4 linked regions of the Drosophila melanogaster genome follow. Changing the gene in region 1 together with any one later gene gives a genetic interaction. Each region holds a gene or a part of one and is shown on either strand. Other genes may lie near its edges. The genes, in order: BEAF-32, Dref, sev and Dll.

Region 1 (4,526 bases):
ACCCTAAGCGAACATATTTGTATAATGCCCATCATATCCACAATTCAAAATTCATTTTGAGCGAACCACTTACCTATATCAACAACCAAATCATCAAATTAGACATACATACATTTCGCTATTCAAGTCAGTGTTTGATAAACTACCGATTTGTTGACTAGAATCTAAGCCTAGCATACTATATATATATATATATAGGCTTAAGTTTATTGTTTATTGCTCGATTTGTAGGAGTTTTACTGTAATTTGTATTCGTATTGTATGATAATGTACGCTTGCACTCCTAGATCTACAAAATATTGAAGAGAAAAACGAAATGGCTGGCTACGCAATTGGGGAGCGGCCAATACAAGCATATCTCTATAAGAAACGCATAAACAGCAGAACTTAGCCGCAAAATCGATTTGTAAATTACAATACAATAATTTATAATAACAATCTAGCAACGCTCTCTGTTTTGTAAATCTTAACAAGTTATTTAAATAAAATTTATTTAAAATAAACGTAATACACCATGAAATCGCCTTTTCCTTAATTTATTGTAGTGCTTTATTTGAGTTTTAAGTAAAATATAATTGGGAAATATACAATCAAAGTAAGTATTTTCAATCGATAAAAGAGCATAATTTAAATGAATACATAACATATGTATAATTATTAACCTAGATTACGACACGCTGATTTGCCCATTTACCATATGGTTTCCTTCGTTCCTCGTTTTATTATTCCTCTGGGTAAATGTATATAATGGACCGCCTACTCATCCTTGGCAAGCGTTGAGTCCTCACTTTCCTTGAACAGTATATCCTGGATCTTGGACCGCACGTACATCTTCCGACTGAGCGAAAGGTGGCGCATTGCGGGCACCAAGCTAAGTGCAAAATAGTAGTCGTCGTCCTTGGTGAGCTCCTCGTGATTCTGTTGTATGATGTAGCTGAGCTGTTCGCTGACAGCGGTCAGCCGTTCGATGGACGTCTCCAGGTTGTTCTTCAGCTGCTTGGCCGAGCTGCTGCTGGAGGACGTGGAGGCCACCACAGTAGCCTGTACGCCCGAACCAACACCGATGGGCCTGCTACTTCCACCGGCTGGTGAAGTCGAATGGGTTAGCACGGTCACTTGCTTCTCAGGCTGATCCAGGCCCTCATCATCCATCACGTGTATAGGACTATAGCACAGTGGATCCTCGCTGTATATGATGTCCTTAATGTCCTCGCTAATCTCATCGTTCTGCTCGTACTCCTCCCACTTTTGCGGCAGGGCGCCCGCCTCGCCCAGATAATTGGCGACGTTCGACTCGATCTTCGGCTTGGCCACACGCAGCGGCTCCCTCAGCGTCTTGGCCTTGGTAATCCGCACGGTTTTGTCTGCAATGCAAAGGATGGAAGCGATGGTTAATACGATACATATTGGTACAGCTACCGGATAATAACAAAAATATCATAACCCAGAGATGGGCGCCGGCGATAGTTTCCCGCCGACCCAAGGGTCGATAGCCCGCCATACGAACTTCGCTGGAATTACCTTTCTTGATGATTGGGATCATCCGGGCCTGGGGACGTTGCTGCACCGGACTGACCAGCACCTCGTCCCTGTGCTTGTGCCGCAGATGCGTCCACAAATTGGTCGTATTGTTGCCCTTCAAATTGCTGGCCATGCCACCACGCGATATATTGTTGCCGCAATAACGGCATATCGCAAAGTTTTCGCACTCCTCGTTAATATCGTAGTGCTGCCACACATTGCTAACACGACCCTTGGGCATTTTTAATACTTTTCTCTAGGTAATTAGTACGTCAAAAGTGATTTTTCTCCACAAATTTATTTATTGCGATATTGGCGTTGCTGTAGTCAGTGTTGTCAAGTGCCGTTGCAGTGTTGTAAAACGCATGAACATAAGAGTGGAAACAAAGGCAACGGCAAACAGAGGTGAAAAACGAAAATAAGAGAATGTTTACATACTTTACAACAGCGCAAAATCATAAAAATACTTTTAACATAACAATATTTTTTAGCTGATTTTTTAATAGCATTTTAGATAATATACAATAGGTTTATAAACTATTTACAAGCACAACCACTGGTTGGGGAAAATTCTGTACCTATCCTGCACTATTTTTATCTATAGTTTTTTTTTTCAAGACGATTTACTGCCTTGCTATAACTAGAGTTTCTACTTTTTCCGCGCCAAAGTGGAGGAGCCTGTACCGATGACCCGTGGATTTATCGCGATGGCATCGGGCACTGATCCGTGCTCGGTTTCTACGGCACGGAGCACGCGTGGCAGTGGATTTCGATTGTGAAGGGCGTGCGTGAGATTTCGGATCCCGAACTTACCGTTACTGCTGCTGGAGTGGAGACATCGGTGCCGTAGCAGGGATCCGGTTCCAGTTTTGCCGCTGTAGGATAACAGATCGCCACAGGTTTTGCAGCAGGCGTACGGCTCTATGTGGTCGTCGCACTGGACGAGATTGAAAAACCTCCAGACGCAGCTTTTGGTGTTCCTGGGCTCAACGAGTTTGCAACGCTTGTCCCCGGATTTTAGTAGGCTACGAAGCTCTGATTTCTTTTCAACATGCATCGTGGTGTATCGGTTGTTCGATTTGCGGTGGTAATTCGGTTTGCCAAGAAGAAAACAAACCCAAATTACAAAATGTACACAAATACAAACTCACGAAAATTCAGTCACGCACAAAACTGTGTTGGTAAACAAGCGCTAGCACGGTGCGAAAAGTGTAAGGTGGTGTAAACAGCCACTGATTTTCTTAAAAAGAACTTGATTGTAAGTTTAATTTTTTTTGAATTTTATTTGTTTCTTATGTTTTTTGAATATTTTCTTTTAGTTTAAAACCTAAAATTCTCATATGACTAGCGATTCCGATTACCCATAGTAAACAGTCTATCGATAAACTCAATTGAGTTGACTATTGTATATTGAATCAGTAGAATCTTTTTATTTAAATGGGTAAAGTTTCGATGGCTTTCCTACAGCCAGGACAATATCAAGGCCCAATTGAACGCCGGAGTCCGGCAATTCAACAAGAAGCGCAGTCGCGGCAAAGTCTGGAATGTCTTCTCCAGAATCGAGCTTGGTCAAATAACATGGATGCACTTCACACATGGAGCGGCACAAGTGCTACAGAACCTATGTCATATATCCAACATCAGAGGATGAAGAGGATTCCCACTGGAATCCGGACGTTTCCAGTGCGGACAAGGCTACAGATAAGATAACCGAGGCCCTGATGGATTGGTGCGTCGTGGTTAGTGCGCGGGACATCGAAACGCACTACGATTTCTTCTTGGTCTTTGTCGCCTTGGACAGCCAGGAGGATAAGATTATCAAAGAAATTCAAGGCTACCAGGCAATACAGATGCCTGCATGTGGATTAGCTGCACCGAAAGATGTTGCCCAACCAATATGAATAAAAGAATCGATTCTTAGCTCTAGCTTACCAAATTGTAGGTTTTCCTAGAATTCCTGTTAATTTAAAACTATTAATGATCCACAATGTCGATACACAAAAAAATTTGAAAAATTAAAATTTTGAATAAAGAAAACAATACGAACATTTAAAGTTTTGTCAATATTACCGTTTTCAAGAAATCCGCCATAAATTAAAACCCCAGAGTTGCAAATTCAAAAAGCTAATATTTTCGTTATATGCATTTATATACGTTGGTATTTTATGTGGAGTTTTAGAGTTGGCACAGAGAGTATATTTATCGGATTGCTCCACGGTCACACTGTCTCTTAATTTTTTCGCCGTCGCCGTCGTTTGTTTTTGGAAATGTCAATTGTTGTGAATATATCTGCTTAATTGTAAAAAAACGCCCAATCGGAAAAAGCACAAATATACGCAAAAAAATTTGCGAACAAGCAGCAAAAGTAAATGTCATTTAAAACAGTGCAAAATTAATACAAAGAAAAATGCTACATTTTGTTGCGTCTGCTCCTGCTTTGTGTGTGTGTGTGTTTTTGTGTATGTGTGCGCGTTGTTAAATAAATGAATTAAAAGACAGAGTTACACATTTTAAATGCGAAATAATGAAAAACGAGCTCATCCAGTGCTCTCTCTTTCTCGCCCTCTCATTTTTACTGTTACTAAAAAGAAGTACTCCAATTCACGCACATGCATACATACGTAAGCCCAGTGAAAAGCGAAAACAATAAGAAGAAAATATAGTTGGAAATCCGCTGCGGTTGGCAATTAAACATATCGGTTGGGAAAATCGGTGAAAAATTATAGCTGTGCTGCAGTATGTATAGGCGTATGTAAATATGAAATATGTAAAGGCAGCAACAGCAAGCAGAGCAGCATATACACACATGGAGAAATCGCCCAAAAAACTTTCTGCGCAAGCTGCGGAGAGCGCGTGCGAGAGGGAGATAGAGTGACGGAGAGTGCGAGAGCGAGCGCGATTGATTCGTTGGTGCAAATTTTATGTTAATAAAAAAGTAGTGCTCGCAGCAAATGGTAGTTCAAAAAAGCTAAATAAATAAGAAAACTAACTATATAGTTTACAAT
Region 2 (5,391 bases), on another chromosome or scaffold:
AGAGCAAGTTCTTCGATCTATTGGTTTCAGTCCTATTGGCAGTAATATCGCGGCTTTCGTGCCCTTCTTTTGTGAGGAATCCAGTTCGTGGGTCGGGTGCCTACGTCTAATTGGTGTGACCAGCCAATGCGAAATCCGAAATGACTAAAATACAGACTTCCTCCCGGTTTTATATTATTTAAAATTTTTACTATTTGTTTTATTTTAAAGTTTAAAAGCTATCAGTAAAAAAATTAACTTAATTAAAAAACAAATGTCGAAGATTATTTAGATTTTGTTTGTCGCAGACGAAAAATATGAAAATTTTCCGATGATTTAAAAAAGGGAAATTTCGAGGGCTGCAGAGTAAAAAAATAAAACATATTTTGAAAATTAAAGAAATATGTCAAATATATAAAGTAGCTAACTCCAAACCGACTACTAATTGTTTCGTAGTTCAGAAATTTTTTTAATACTGAATTAATTGTAAAATATCTAATTTTAGTTAGTTCAATAAAACAATTCACGAAAGTTAGATGCATTTTATTTATTTATAAGATTAAAATATCAATTATGTACAACTAAGTTAAGTATTTAATTAGTTCTCTTGAAATGGATATAAGGGGATTTACAAGTGAGCTTGATAAGCGTGATATTTTTTCGTTATGGATTTATTAAACAAATATTCTTAGATTATCTGTTTGATTTGAATATATGATGTCAAAATGTTCCCTTAACATTTATACGTCGATAACTTAAGATGTTCCGTGTACGTCCCAAGGCTGTCTTTTGGTTAAAAGTACTGCGGAATCGCTATTACTATTTGCCTCGCCCCTGGTAGTCATTTTCATATACACAAGATCGGATTACGTTAAAAGTAATTAAAAAGTATTTGCATTATAAGAAACAGTAGTCGCCAGTGCAGACTAATTGTTGTGATGATGAAGAAAGAGGATGGCGTCGATGTGACTACCGGTGAGCATGAATCGCTTGTTGAAGTCGTATATTTGGTCTCTCAGCGCCTTCTTGAAGCTGAGCGTCACCACGCCGGGCACACTATGGTACAGGCTGGCCAAATCGCGGAGCGTTCCATAAATGTGTCCCATCTTGAGCCACCACTCGATGGGCGACTCATCCAGCTGAACGACCACCTCGTTGCGATATCGCTTAAGATCGGACTCCACGCTGCTGTCCGCATCTCGCTTCGGAGGATTTGGTATCTCGTTACTGTCAAACAGCAGTTTCAGACCTACGGGCATTTTCGTTTAGTCCATGGTTTATGATAATCGATTTAGTTCGATGCACTTACCCAACTTCTTTGGTGCACTGCCGTCCACTACTCTTGGTTCTGACTTAATGGCCACCACGCTGGAGGTAGCTGCCACTTCGTTGGATTCCCCTTCGCCCACTCCACCAAAGTTAATGTTATACTTATGGGTCAGCATACGAACGGTTCGCTCTAGGTTGTCAATGGTGGTCAGGCGGTGGAAGCGTGGGTCCAACAATGCAGCAGCGGTCAGATTGTCATTGGATATAACGTGCGCCTGGAGGACACTGGAAATGGTCCGCTTCAAATTCATCATTAGGGGATCGTCCTGCTCGGCGATGCCCAACTTCTTGATAAGAATCTTTGAAGTGATTGGCGAAAGCATGCTACACAAGGGAATGTCTTCGCCACGCAGCGTGTCCAAAGCAATCTAAAAGATTTCACACAATAAGAAAACTGCTTAAACGTCTCATTTAGCTTGATGGCTTACCACCAGAGCACTCAGGGCCTCCGTCACCGTCTTGGCTGATATAACCAGGTGATCCATGTCCTCGGACCAAGATATGGACTCGGCAAAGAACTTCAATGTTTCGTACAGTGTCCAGGGGAAGTGCTCGTTGTACGTGGGCATGGGCACCTCGGACACCTTGGAGGCAATCTCCGTTGAATGACGCTGCATTAGGTCCTTCACCTGCTCCAATAAAGTGGCCACCTCTTCGATCTCAAACACACGACGCAAACATTTGTCAATTACCGAAACGTAGCACAGCGAAATGGGTATATCTGCAATAAAAGATTCATATTCATTAGGAAGTCCAATATTTGATATATATTCTATATAAGGTAAATAATTCTGACTTGCTAATGCACTCACTTTTCTCTCGCAGATAGGTGTGCAAAAGGTCCTCTTCCTCGTCGTAGTTTATGATGGCCAGTGTGCAATTGGCCAAATAGAAGTCGGTCAGCAGATCGTCAAAGACGATGTAGTCGTTGTACTCCACGGTGGCATACAGCATACCGCGAACTGAGTGCGTCTCCTCGTCCAGAAAGTGATGGAAGATGCTAAGGAAGCGCCGCTGTTCAACATTCACCCACATCTCAAAGGCGAGAGAGAAGGGCTTCTCGGAGGTGAAATCGCGCGTGATTTCGCCAATCTCCAGAAACTTGGAGGCGTGCATCTCATTGATCAAAGAGTCGATCTTGTGTGGCTCGGGCATGGCTGCCGAATTGCCTAGGACTTGACGCAGGAATTCACCAAAACCGGCATCGTACAGAGAATCCACATTGCGCAAATCCTTAATCACAATGTCCGTAAGGGCTTCGGCCAGATTGGCGATGTTCGCCACGGCGGCATAGCCGCCTTCCTCGTGCTTGATGACACGCCCGTGCATCAGGGCACTCGATGGAGTGGCCACTTTGCGTTTGCGTCCGTACTTTGGTTCCATAACTAGGCGCTCCTCCTCCTCTACCAGATTTTCGGCCTCGTCGTAGGTGAAGGGCACCATGGTCTCGTACAGCATGGTTTGCGAGGAGGCGTCCTCCTCCGCCTGCATGGCCGCAGTTGCCACGGCTGCTTCGTCCAGTTCATCATCGGAAGCGTTATCGTGGTTCCGGTTATTAATGAACTCCAGTTTGACCCGCCGCGAGGAAACATTCCGCTTGGACAGCGGTGGATGGGATACATTACGCGGCGTCTTGCGCGGCGGCACATGGATGTCGTGCTCCTGGCACAGCTCCTTGAACAGATCCTTGTGTCGGTGCTGGAGATGCGCACGCAAATTGGTGGTGTTGCCATGGTTGGTCAGCACCTTGTGACACTTAATGCAGACCACATTCTGTTTGGTAATCACCTCATTATTGTCGTTCGAGGGGAATCCAAAGTAGCGCCAGTATACGCTTTTCATCTTGGGCGAGTACAGTTTGGAAAAATTTAGCTGCGACACATCCTCGTACTTGAGTTCGCCAATGGCCACGGGCGACGCTGGTACCCCTTCGCTCATCTTGTCTTCTGTGGGGGATTGGGATCTTCTTGTTTGTTTTGAATTAGATTCGACAACGATTGCTGTGCCCAATGCGTGTATTAGCGCGCAATTTCTCGATTATAGATAGACGGTTCAATAGTCAATAGTTTTTTATCTGTATCAGAAGTACAGTTCAGAGTTGCCACGCGACACGCCGTCAATCGATAAGGCAATAAAACGTTGCTAAATGCTTCAAATGCACTCTCATTTATTTGAGATTATTTTTACAGACTGCTCAAATATGAGAGTCACCGCTTTTTAATTTCAATACGTCTGACTGTCGTAAAAAATGCGATTTGTTGAGTATTCTCGCTAACACTGATTGCATCACCAATCGATAGCTGGGGAAATTTCTCGCTCGGCCGGGGGAATTTCTCTAGGGAAATTTTCGCTTGGCCTACGACGTGAAGTTGGTTGCGATTTCCTTTTTAATTCGTTGTTGGGAAGAAAAGGTGTGTAAATTTCGTGAGCGTCACGAAATTCAATGAAAATAAAAGATAAACGAAATGCAAATCGAGCCATCGAGTGTGCCAAGTGTGGAGGACACAAGTGGGCATCATTGACACCCGTAGGCATGAAGAAGTGCTCGGAATTACGGCTTAAACAAATCGAAATTCGCCAGCCACGTGGGCCTGCAGCTTGGTTATCCCATATATACGAGTTTACAAAGAGACATTGATGTTATTATTGTGTTTTTGCCCTCGTTGCAGCCAATCTAAACCGCCAAGATGGGTAAGGGTAACAATATGATTCCGAATCAGCACTACCACAAGTGGTGGCAGCGGCATGTGAAGACCTGGTTCAACCAGCCGGCCCGCAAGGTCCGCAGGCATGCGAACCGCGTCAAGAAGGCTAAGGCCGTCTTCCCCCGCCCAGCCAGCGGTGCCCTGCGCCCTGTGGTTCGCTGCCCCACCATCCGCTACCACACCAAGCTGCGTGCCGGCCGTGGTTTCACCCTGGAGGAGCTGAAGGTAAGTGAAGCCGAAAACATTATCGGAATCCATTGGCCACTAACAAAATCTCTGTTTACAGGGTGCCGGCATTGGCGCCAACTTCGCCAAGACCATCGGCATTGCCGTCGACAGGAGGCGCAAGAACAAATCCCTGGAGTCCCGCCAGCGTAACATCCAGCGCCTCAAGGAGTACCGCAGCAAGTTGATCCTGTTCCCCATCAACGAGAAGAAGATCCGCGCCGGCGAGTCCTCTCTGGAGGAGTGCAAGCTGGCTACCCAGCTTAAGGGACCCGTCCTGCCCATCAAAAATGAGCAGCCCGCCGTGGTCGAGTTCCGTGAGGTGACCAAGGATGAGAAGAAGTTCAAGGCCTTCGCCACGCTGCGCAAGGTAAGTTTTTTGGTTTCGTGATCCGCCGGTAGCTCGTTATACTTATTCGCCGCCAAACTATATTTGCAGGCTCGCACTGATGCCCGTTTGGTCGGAATCCGCGCCAAGCGCGCCAAGGAGGCCGCTGAGAGCGAGGACGCCGCCAAGGGAGACCCCAAGAAGGCCAAGAAGTAAACCACATCTTAACCTGATCGTTCTGTCTACAACATCAACCAGAATAAAATCTTAGTTTTTCTTAAACGTGAATATTTGTGCACATTGTTGTTATTGTCGCGTCTGGCGTAAGACTTATCGATAACCCGTGTTGCTATCGATAAGTAGCTTTGGCGCGTTGAATTCAAACTGGCGCGTTTGTTTTTAGCTGCTGCATCCAAAAAAAGAAACGTATGTTGCTTGCCATTACTTTTTTATTTTTTCTTATTTTTACCAGCTTCTTAATTTATTTGGGTTAAATTATTAAAAAGTTAAATCTGTGGTGCCATATAGAAGATTTTCTTAGGATACGCATCTTGAGCAAACGAAAAGGTTGCAGAAGCTACGTTTCTTATTTTTTTAAATATCTTTTGTTGAAATGTTAATTACAATATATTGAATTTTTCATTAGAATGGTGTAGGGTAAAGATTAAACTAAACAACTGTATTTTATCTCTGCAGTAATATATTTGCAATACCTTTTAAGGTATTTATGCCTATGTACATATGTATGTACATATGCGCGTTTCACTATATCTGAAAATATTGAGTTTAAAATTGATAAGCTGAGTGAGTGAAGGGCTTCACTAT
Region 3 (4,871 bases), on another chromosome or scaffold:
CTGAGAGAAAGAAATAAATATTTTTATGCAAGACCAATTTGTAGTGCTACAAAATTGCAAATTTCACTACAGTTCAAGATTGAAAAGAGTTTGCATGCAAAATGTGCACAATACGTCAATCAGAAGGTGAATTTCCGGGGTTGTCCCTTTTTTTTTCGAAAAAAATGCGAAAATCTGATTTTCACGTGACAGTCTGTGAAATAGGTATGTAGCACCTAGTCCGCCGGCGAATCCATTGAGAATCGCTCGGGTTGATAAGCCGCATCTTCCGTCAAGTGTGTGTAATAAGTTTGCCGTCTAATCAATTCCAGAATATTTCAAACGATTAGTACGAATTCGATGATCCCAGGCGGGAGATTGGATTTCCACAGATTATTCGGGCCAAGAAATTGTGCGCACGAGTGCAGTTTGGATGTCTGCGGCACATCCTTTCCGTTGGCCAAAAAATCCATAAGCGAAAGGGATACTTGGACTTGATGGCGGAACCGGAAACGGAAGCTGTCACGCAAGCCTTTCACTCGCCGCTCAATTTTTCATCCCGCAGTGTCAGTTGTATGAGTCACGAGTCATGTGTAACCGGAAAATTGCCTACTCTTGTGTGCTTCAAATGCTCGGAAAATGCTTTAAAATATTGCATATTTCTTAGCTTGCGAGTTTTTGATTCTACAGAGTAAAAAAAAAATACCTAAATGTTTGTGTAAATCAATGAAATTAATAGCTTAACTTGTTTTCTTCATATTTCTCGGTTAAAAAGTTATGGAAATATGATATTTTGTAGTTTGATAGAAAATTTTTAATGAAATTTCTATGACTTTCCACATCTCGTTTACTTTTCATGGAAATACACTTCTATTCACCCCAATTGATGACTTTATTTTCTGATTGTGTGGGCTAGTTCCCTATTGAATTCAATTATTTTCAAGCGTTTACTGCTGCTTGCGATCAATTAGTTTAATAATCAATTTAGGTGTGCTGTTAATGCTTAGCTAAATGTAAAGAGTGAGTCAGCTAAACGATTTAAACAAATTTTCTGCCACGTTTATTTGTTGGCGAAAAAGCGCGTTGATTTGCGCTATTCATGTGACGATGTTTAGAGTAAATTGAGTTGTATTTTAAATTATTTCTGTTAACATTTGTAAACGAATAAAGTTTTTTTCCATTGCAAGAAGTTGAAATTTAACCCTCTTTGGATGTAAGCTTTTCAATATATTTAGTCTTAATAAGTCTAGCTCAAAAATAAGTACTATAATTTAATAATTATATACATTTTACATAGCCTCGGCCCATTACCTTAATTTTAATGATACAAAGATGTTACTATGTAAGTCGGAAGCTTATTAAAAACCGAAAATCATCAAATCAACTAGATGCACAATGTTAAGATCATGTTTTTATTAAGATTATATTTTAGATAGATACTCTTGAGGTGGCATTGGTTTCTTGAGATGGAAAATACATCTATCTATCTATGTATCTATAAGAACTTAAATATCTGGCGGCCTGCTTGCGATCTGCGATCAACCGATTGAGTTGAGCTTTGACCCATGGAAAGAGGAGCGCGGTGGGCTATCTACCCATGATATCCAGTTTAGGGGTTGCCCTGCCAATGACGTCATAGTTGCTGCGTCAACGAAAAAGAAGATCAATGGTCATTTAAGATCGGTTCGGTTCAGTTCGGTTCGGTTGCGGTGCGCTTCGTCACTCATCGTTCATCGCATCGTATGGTATCGTATGGTATCGTATGGTATCGTATCGCATCGCATCGCTTCGGTTCGGTTTCAGTTCCGTGCTCAAGTTCTCCAGCTGGGGGGTTGGACTTGGACTTGGAGCTTGGGGCTTGGTTAAAAAGCCGCCGCTCGCCGGCAAATCAGTTCTGCTGCGATCGCGCCACTGCGCACTACGTAACGCTTCGGGAATCGCACATCCAGATCCAGATTCAGATCCACATCCAGATATCTGTGACATTTTGTCGAGTGAGTTGCGTTCTCAAAGATACAAGATACATCCGTGCGCGTATGTGTGTGTTTGCATGAATTTCGGCTCTTTTAATACCCTTTTTTTTTCGCGTGCACTAAGTGTTCCTATGTGTGTGTGTGTGGAGTTGCTTTTCAGTTGGGGCCGCAACTGCAACAATAAAATGCAATTAAGCCGCTCAAATCAACAATAAATTGAATTAAAGCGCGTGAACAGCGCTTAACAACTTCAACAGCGGCGATTCGAGCGAAATGTGGGTGAGAGTTTAAGGCTCCATCGGTTTTGACTTTCTGATTGTACAAATATGTATATATATATACTATAGCATACATACCTTCGACTAATTAATGCAAAACGCTGGCCGGCAGCTTTTGCATAATATTCTCTGAATAACTTTAATGCAATTAATCCCGCTGTGATCTTTCGTGTTTTCACTATTTCGCGCGGTTTATTCAATTTGAATTTCAATTTATTTTCGGTTTTTCTGTTTCATTTTGTTTATACATATATATATTTGTTCGGTCTAGTCTGCTCATCGGGCGATTTAATTAACATTTTCCGTGCTGCTGTGCTGTTGTTGTTGCTGGTAAATATGAAATTAAAGTGCAATTAACTATTATATATACATATATATATATATACATATATATATGTATATCTATGGTTTTGCTGAACTTGCGGACAAAAGGGATTTCCGTTTTTGAAAGTGCGACTCCGCTCGATTATTCTCCGTCCGTCGAATGTGTTTGCATCTTAATGAGGATAAATTTGTTATGGCCACTTCCCGTTCGCTATTGTTGTTGTTGTTGTTGTTGTTGTTGTTGTTTTTGCTGTGGTCGGTCGAAGGGGGCGTGACTTATTGGCCATGCATTACGCCATGTTAATTGAAACTTGTCGCTTGGCTAGCTGATTATGCAGACGCCATATTAATTGGACCATGGACCATGAGAGCATGGACCATCCATGTCCTCTAATCGAAATCCCGGCGACATTTGGATGAGTTGGGCGGTGGAAGCTGGCCAAACCAGTTACGGAGATCATTGGGATTTTGGCTTATCGATCCGGACTTAGATTGTGTGTGTGTGTGTTTGTGTTTACCCTGTTTATCTCGCCGGCAATGTGCGTTGAACCTTTGAGCTGCATCTGAAATAAGTAGAATGCAATGTAGTTAAGCTTTTTCTTGGGGTATATTCACTTGCCTACTTATTTTTATTAATTATTTTCCAAATATATCAAATATATATCAAATATATCAAATATATTATATACATCAAATTTTCAAATATGCAAATATCATTTAATGCTATTGGTACAGCTATTAATCAACTATACATGTAAATTGTTTATGCTTGTTACACTAAATTGAGTAATAATCCGGAAAACTCATGATAATTGACGGTTTGACAAAAATGATAGTAATATAGCATTTTGCAAGGGCAGAACTGCCACTTTGTAAATACAGTGATTGGAGTATCTATTAATTAGACAAAACTTGGCTTGCTGATATACTGCAAATATTTGTAAATTACTAGGTTCGGGCCTTTTAGCAGCTTTTTTTATGCCTTTAAATTGCAACTGCAATGAATTGAAGTACAAGAAATAAGTCATTCTGTTTAATGGAAAGTTAACGAGACTCATTTCTCAAATTCGCTAAATAAATTATATAAAAATGTATTCATATATTTTAACATTATATGACATAATGTTGAGTAAAGGGTATCCGTAAAATATCACTTGCATTTAATTTTTTGTAACTGCCTCGTTTGCTGCTTCTCGAATTTGCATAAAATGGAAATTAGTTTGTGTACTTAAAATTTCCAATTGAATTGGTTTTTTGACTCTGCTATTTGAAATCTGATTTTTATTTGTGCGTTGTTCAAATTCACCCCTCTCTTTCTATTTCTCTTTTGATTTACACTGCGGTGGTCACTGTGTTGTGTGTTTCAGTTTCGTTTTCAGTCAAATGCGGCACTAAAATGTTAATTCAGCCAAAGCAAACAACGATTATCGAGTGAAATAGGAATCGAACGCCACAAATCGCGAACTCGGGGTGAAGATCGAGTGCCTCGATGACTATGTTTTGGCAACAAAATGTAGACCACCAGTCGGATGAGCAGGACAAACAGGCGAAGGGTGCGGCGCCCACAAAGAGATTGAACATCAGCTTCAATGTGAAGATCGCGGTGAATGTGAATACCAAGATGACCACCACCCACATCAATCAGCAGGCACCTGGCACCTCCTCCTCCTCGTCGAACTCCCAGAATGCCTCACCCAGCAAGATTGTGGTCCGCCAGCAGAGCAGCTCCTTCGATCTACGTCAGCAATTGGCTCGCTTAGGCCGCCAATTGGCCAGTGGCCAGGATGGCCATGGCGGCATATCCACCATACTGATCATCAATCTTCTCCTGCTCATTCTACTCTCGATCTGCTGCGATGTCTGCCGATCGCACAACTATACGGTGCACCAGAGTCCCGAACCCGTCTCCAAAGACCAAATGCGCCTGCTGCGTCCCAAGCTGGACAGCGATGTGGTCGAGAAGGTGGCCATCTGGCACAAGCACGCCGCCGCAGCTCCGCCAAGCATTGTCGAGGGCATCGCCATCAGCAGCAGGCCACAGTCAACGATGGCCCATCATCCAGATGATCGAGATCGGGATCGTGATCCTTCGGAGGAACAGCATGGCGTCGACGAGCGAATGGTCCTGGAACGCGTGACCAGGGATTGTGTGCAGCGCTGCATTGTTGAGGTGAGTTCTAGATTTCTAACATTACCTAAGTTTTATATTGTATTTACATACATTGTGATAATGCACATTTCGTGATGGTGTCAAAAGAGCATAAAACATGCATAAAACATGCATAAAACATGACTTTCCCCAGGGCAAAGCAAAGAA
Region 4 (4,604 bases), about 10 Mb from region 1:
ACAAAAGACCCGGATCTCTGGGAGAGTAGGTATGGGATTGGGACTGGGATTGGGCCTGAGACTGATCGGATAAGGAGGAGCAGTACTTACCATCCTTCGGTGGACTGGCGCAGGGCGGGGCGTAGCTGCCCAGATGGTAGCCGGAGTAGGAGTTCTGGTGCATTGGCGGGAACGGGTAGCCGAGGGCGCTGCGCGGACTGGGGAAGCCGGAATCCTGGCCGCCCTGCGGTCCGAAATGCTGATAGGTGCTCCGGATGCCGCCGTACCTGGAATGCCGCAAATGCACGGAAAATAATCAATACGGGGCTGTAATATAGCTGTGGCAGTTGTGGAAGAAGTAGTGGAAGTAATGGAAGTGGCGTACACCGGCTGTGAATGTGAATGAATCGTGCCGGGGACAAAACTTTTCCTACTTGCGTGTTTTGTCTACACTTTTCACTATTCACTATTAAATTCAAACGTCGCCGAGCATAGGACGAGCGTTCGGTCGGGAAAATATCTAAAAGTGGGCCCAAAATGTTTCATGTTTAATGCAAGAAGCGTCGAAACCAAAACTTTTTCTCTCACAACAAAAAATTAGGCTGGCGGAGAGGAAGGAAATTTTTGCCATGACTTCATTTACAAAAACCAGAACCGAAACCAAAAACAAAACCAAAACCTATCCAAAGCCCGAACTGGATGCGGCTTAATATATCAAAGAAAAATCAATACGAGTGTCAGAGTCGCTGTGTTTTAGTTTCGGTTTGGTCCGCAGTTCCGTTTGCAGTCCCGCTCGCTCGCGGTAAATATTTTGTTAACACTTTGCGGGCGAAACAGTTGAGCAAGTTCCCATGCATTATGTTCCGAGCGAACTGCATGAAATATTCAATGCTCTCCTGGCCCCTCAAACACGGAAACGGAAGCGGGCCGAAAGCAGCAGAAACCGCAACGGACAGCGGCCAACGGACAACGGAGAACGGACAACGGACAGCGGACAGCGAACAGCGAACAACATGGCAGCCACTCCGGGGACGGAGAAAAGTCGTGGCCAGGAACAACTCCCGAGGGCTGGTCGGCGCAGCCAAGCATTCCAAGTCCCGTCCCAGCCCAAGAGCCCAACACGCACAAATGACAGAGCAGTGGAAACCGCAAGGCTCAAAACCAAGAATGCAATAAAATATGTATAATGAAAAATCGAATCGTGCGTTGGGAAAACAATTTGCGGCTGCAAACAGTTCGCCGAGTGAGCGGTAACAGTAAACAGACCACCGAGCCCGACTTATTGCTACCCCATGAGGAACGTGTTGTTGGATAGGAACAGAACCCTCCGGATCAGACGCTTATTTAGAACACGGACCGGGAGTAAACTACACTTAATTGAATTTATTTTTGGCTTCCGCTGCCGGCCAGCCAGGCACCAGCATGAACTGTAAGCCGGAAAGTGCAGCTGAAGTGATTTTCTTAATCAAAACTAATAGTATAGCGAGACCCCAACGCGAAATCGATCCCGAAAATAGTATCATAAAGATGGAAAGCTGACGGCAACTTTCATCGATTCAGTCTTAGTCGATTTGGCTGAGGGCCTAGAGAAGGCTAAATGGCGAATTGGCAAATTGAAATTTAAAATTGTGATTTCGAATTTATACTACATTTGTTACTTTAGAAGTACATTTTTATGGAAGTCAAAATAATTTTTAACTTTGGATTACATTGACGAATTCATAAATCTACAATTGGTTGCTTTCATTTTTTAAGACAACTAATAATTATACAAGTTTTTTAATAGTAAAATTTATGTATCGATCGAAATAAGACTATTGGCTATTGTAATGTAATCAGTAATTAAGACCCTAAAAAGTTATATGAACTACTTAGACAATATACTCTTGAGTTAACCTGACTTTATTTAACTGCTTGCTTTTACCAACTGTTATTTATTATTAAAAATTGAATTTGTTTATTGTAATGTCAATGTACTATATTATCTATTTATGCAATTATGCAGCTTGTAGTCCTATGCCAACTAACTTTTTCCCTTGAAATGAATGAAATGATTTTAAAGACCAAATGGTTTTATGGTACGTATAGCGCTCTTTAGATTCATTAAAAAGATTCATATTCGAGTTTTGGGAACGCCCTGGCCACAAACTCCTTTTTTCTCGGGTGTGTCAACTGCTCCGCACAGATTGAGATTGAGTTCCGATAGGTTTGGTTTTGGCAGGGCTGAAGTCTGGAGGGGATCGAGTCTTTTCGCCGAAACACTTTCTGCAATCCTCCCGGTGACTCCACTCCACTGATCTTGGGGACACTCACCCGGCGGCGGCGTGCTGCTGCAGCTCCACGAAGGCGGACTTTCCCGGGATGTTAATGCCGGGCGTGACGCTGGCCGCCGTGTTCCCGCCGTCCATGTACTTGGGCGTGTGCGGGGCGTCGGGGGCGTCCATGCCCGACTGGGGGGTGCTGGGAGGCCCCTCGTAGGGGCTCCCTAGGTCCGTGAAATTGAGCGTGTTGGCGCCTATTGAGGCCACTTTATCAAGAATTTTGACGGCTGTTCAGGGGGATGCGCGCGGGAAGGAAGTTCTCAGAGATCCGATGGCAATGATCAGCTATACTTGCACAGTAGGAGTGTGTGGCTTGCGTATCTAAGGTTTTTGTAGGACACAATGTCTTGGCTTCAGTTCAGTTCGGCGACTTGATTTGGCGGAACTGTTGAGCGCGTAAATCCTTTCAGATGGCGAGGAGGCACTTTTCTCAGCACTGACACTCAACTTGTTAGCAACTCAACTCACTCGAAATTGCTTTCTTGTATCACTTCGATTTCTGGCTGTGCATATTCTTTGTAGATTTTCACGATTTTCAACTCCGTTTTGCGAATCAATCAAATCAATTCATATCAAATCAGATCAGATCAGATCACTACAAATCACTTTATAGTCCGCGACGGATCACTTAGCTCGACGCAGAAACGCAAGGCGCAAAACGCTACGACGGATCGACGACGGCAATTCAACGGCGAGAACAGCGGCGACGACTGCACACGAACAAAGTGCGTATACGACTAGGTGAGGTTTTCGCGGCGCGGTTGCGCGAGACTTCGACTCGCTGCGCTGTCGCTTTGCGGCCGTGCCGCTTTGCCGCTCTGTAGCAGTGGTGTGCGAGCGGCGCAGATGTCATCCATCGCCGTGCGTCGGAGCGGGACGGCTGCTGAGGCCCAAGCCGCTGGCAGTGACTCTCGCCGAGCGTCGCCAATCGGGTGGTTTGCAACCGGTTTTCTCGGTGGTGTCTCTGTATGGTGGTGCAGAAACCGCACCAATACTATAAATTTCCCCGTTCCGGGTGCACGGGGGTGGGGCTGGGCTCTGGGACCCCGTTTTTGTGCCGCTCAACTCGTCAACTTTGTCTAGGTCTAGGGCCCGCATCGAGATTGAGGCGTGGCCTGTCGCCCCGCGTCCCCACGGATTTGGGGAACTTACGGCGTGTATATGCAAATTCCAGGGGGAACTGCCCGTGGAAAGTGCAAATATTTTGACGTTTTAAATAATGTTGATTAAATGCAAAGGTCTCAATTATTAAATTGATTGTTGAACCTATAATTTGTCTTCTTATTTAGCCGCTGCTCCTTTCGGGTCTTATTTTCGGATCAATCGAAACTGTGGCACACGCATTTCCACGGGTAATCAACAGTTGCGGACAACAGACGAATTAACTTAATGATTTGTTTACGTTTTACAATCGGTGGGCTTGCTTGTAAGGAAAAAACGCTACGCACACAAACAACATAGCGTGGTATATATGACAGGTCTGCTATCATTTTCTAATGGAACCTTTAATTTGAAAATCCTTTCTAGGGAGTCTTAAAGCCTCCTTGGAGTTGGTACTTGTGGCGCCACCTAGTGGCCGCCTTTGGCAGCGACAAACCAGTCTATCGGGCCAACCTGCTCACCTGTCAAACACACACACACACACCCTCGCAGCCGCACTCGTACACACACATACTACCTGCGCACCCAGCACGCCCCCTGCTGAGAGCAGAAACTCCCTCGCCACGCCCCCTTGAGCGTTTCGAGAGAGGGCAGAGAGCTCGAGTAGGCCCAATTCAAAATGGCGTCCTTTCGGCCACATAATGTCGCTTTGTGGCTAGGGCCAAGCGACACGGACCGTTTGCTCGAGCGGACTTTTTCATTCACAAGACAAAGTCACCGAGCGGAGAGAACAGCGGAATTTCCACCTTTGTCCGCCTAGCCTAACTGGCAGTTGAAGCGGCGGCAAAGCGGTCTCCATTCCACCCCTTTCCCCTCTCCCAACAGCAGGCAGTTGTCACCTGAGAAGGATTTCCGCTGAAAGTGGGAAAATATGCATATGCATGAGTCGGAGCGGCGCTATTAACCAGAACCAGAGTGCCACAAAAATCGAATTAAGTTTGTTTATAAAAGTAAATATAAATCGAGCATCCAGCGGTAATTGAGCGCCTGATCCGACTGAAATGCTAATCCCCTCGTCCGGATTGGATCGGATCGGATCGGCTGTGGAGCCCGCCGTTCCGAGTTATGACCTGGTCGGCTGCGCTGCACTAATTTAAGGTAGCACTGCAAATGCACGTAATTGTTGCAATTACTTAATGAAAT

Evidence for each region.
Region 2: of BEAF-32 (region 1) and Dref, changing one suppresses a phenotype caused by changing the other (phenotypic suppression), as found in Drosophila melanogaster (one study listed by BioGRID).
Region 3: of BEAF-32 (region 1) and sev, changing one suppresses a phenotype caused by changing the other (phenotypic suppression), as found in Drosophila melanogaster (one study listed by BioGRID).
Region 4: of BEAF-32 (region 1) and Dll, changing one enhances a phenotype caused by changing the other (phenotypic enhancement), as found in Drosophila melanogaster (one study listed by BioGRID).

What each region holds. Positions count from the first base shown.
Region 1 is NT_033778.4:14,768,638-14,773,163, reverse strand, and holds BEAF-32 (boundary element-associated factor of 32kD), read right to left. Parts: upstream 2,696-4,526; 5' UTR 2,579-2,695; coding exon 2,335-2,578; exon of another isoform or gene 1,763-2,334; coding exon of another isoform or gene 1,522-1,762; intron 1,365-1,521; coding exon 757-1,364; 3' UTR 534-756; downstream 1-533.
Region 2 is NT_033779.5:9,963,640-9,969,030, forward strand, and holds Dref (DNA replication-related element factor), read right to left. Parts: upstream 3,591-5,391; 5' UTR 3,247-3,590; coding exon 2,121-3,246; intron 2,030-2,120; coding exon 1,737-2,029; intron 1,677-1,736; coding exon 1,289-1,676; intron 1,229-1,288; coding exon 906-1,228; 3' UTR 508-905; downstream 1-507. Other genes in the region: RpL13 (ribosomal protein L13), read left to right, coding at 3,996-4,238, 4,300-4,608, 4,678-4,782.
Region 3 is NC_004354.4:11,083,298-11,088,168, reverse strand, and holds the start of sev (sevenless), read left to right. Parts: upstream 1-1,869; 5' UTR 1,870-1,973; intron 1,974-3,921; 5' UTR 3,922-4,043; coding exon 4,044-4,724; intron 4,725-4,871. UniProt on the Drosophila melanogaster protein: Receptor for an extracellular signal required to instruct a cell to differentiate into an R7 photoreceptor. The ligand for sev is the boss (bride of sevenless) protein on the surface of the neighboring R8 cell.
Region 4 is NT_033778.4:24,813,256-24,817,859, reverse strand, and holds the start of Dll (Distal-less), read right to left. Parts: upstream 3,039-4,604; 5' UTR 2,424-3,038; coding exon 2,293-2,423; intron 267-2,292; coding exon 91-266; intron 1-90. UniProt on the Drosophila melanogaster protein: Transcription factor that plays a role in larval and adult appendage development. Specifies the identity of ventral appendages (including legs and antennae) and suppresses dorsal appendage development. Involved in patterning the distal-proximal limb axis.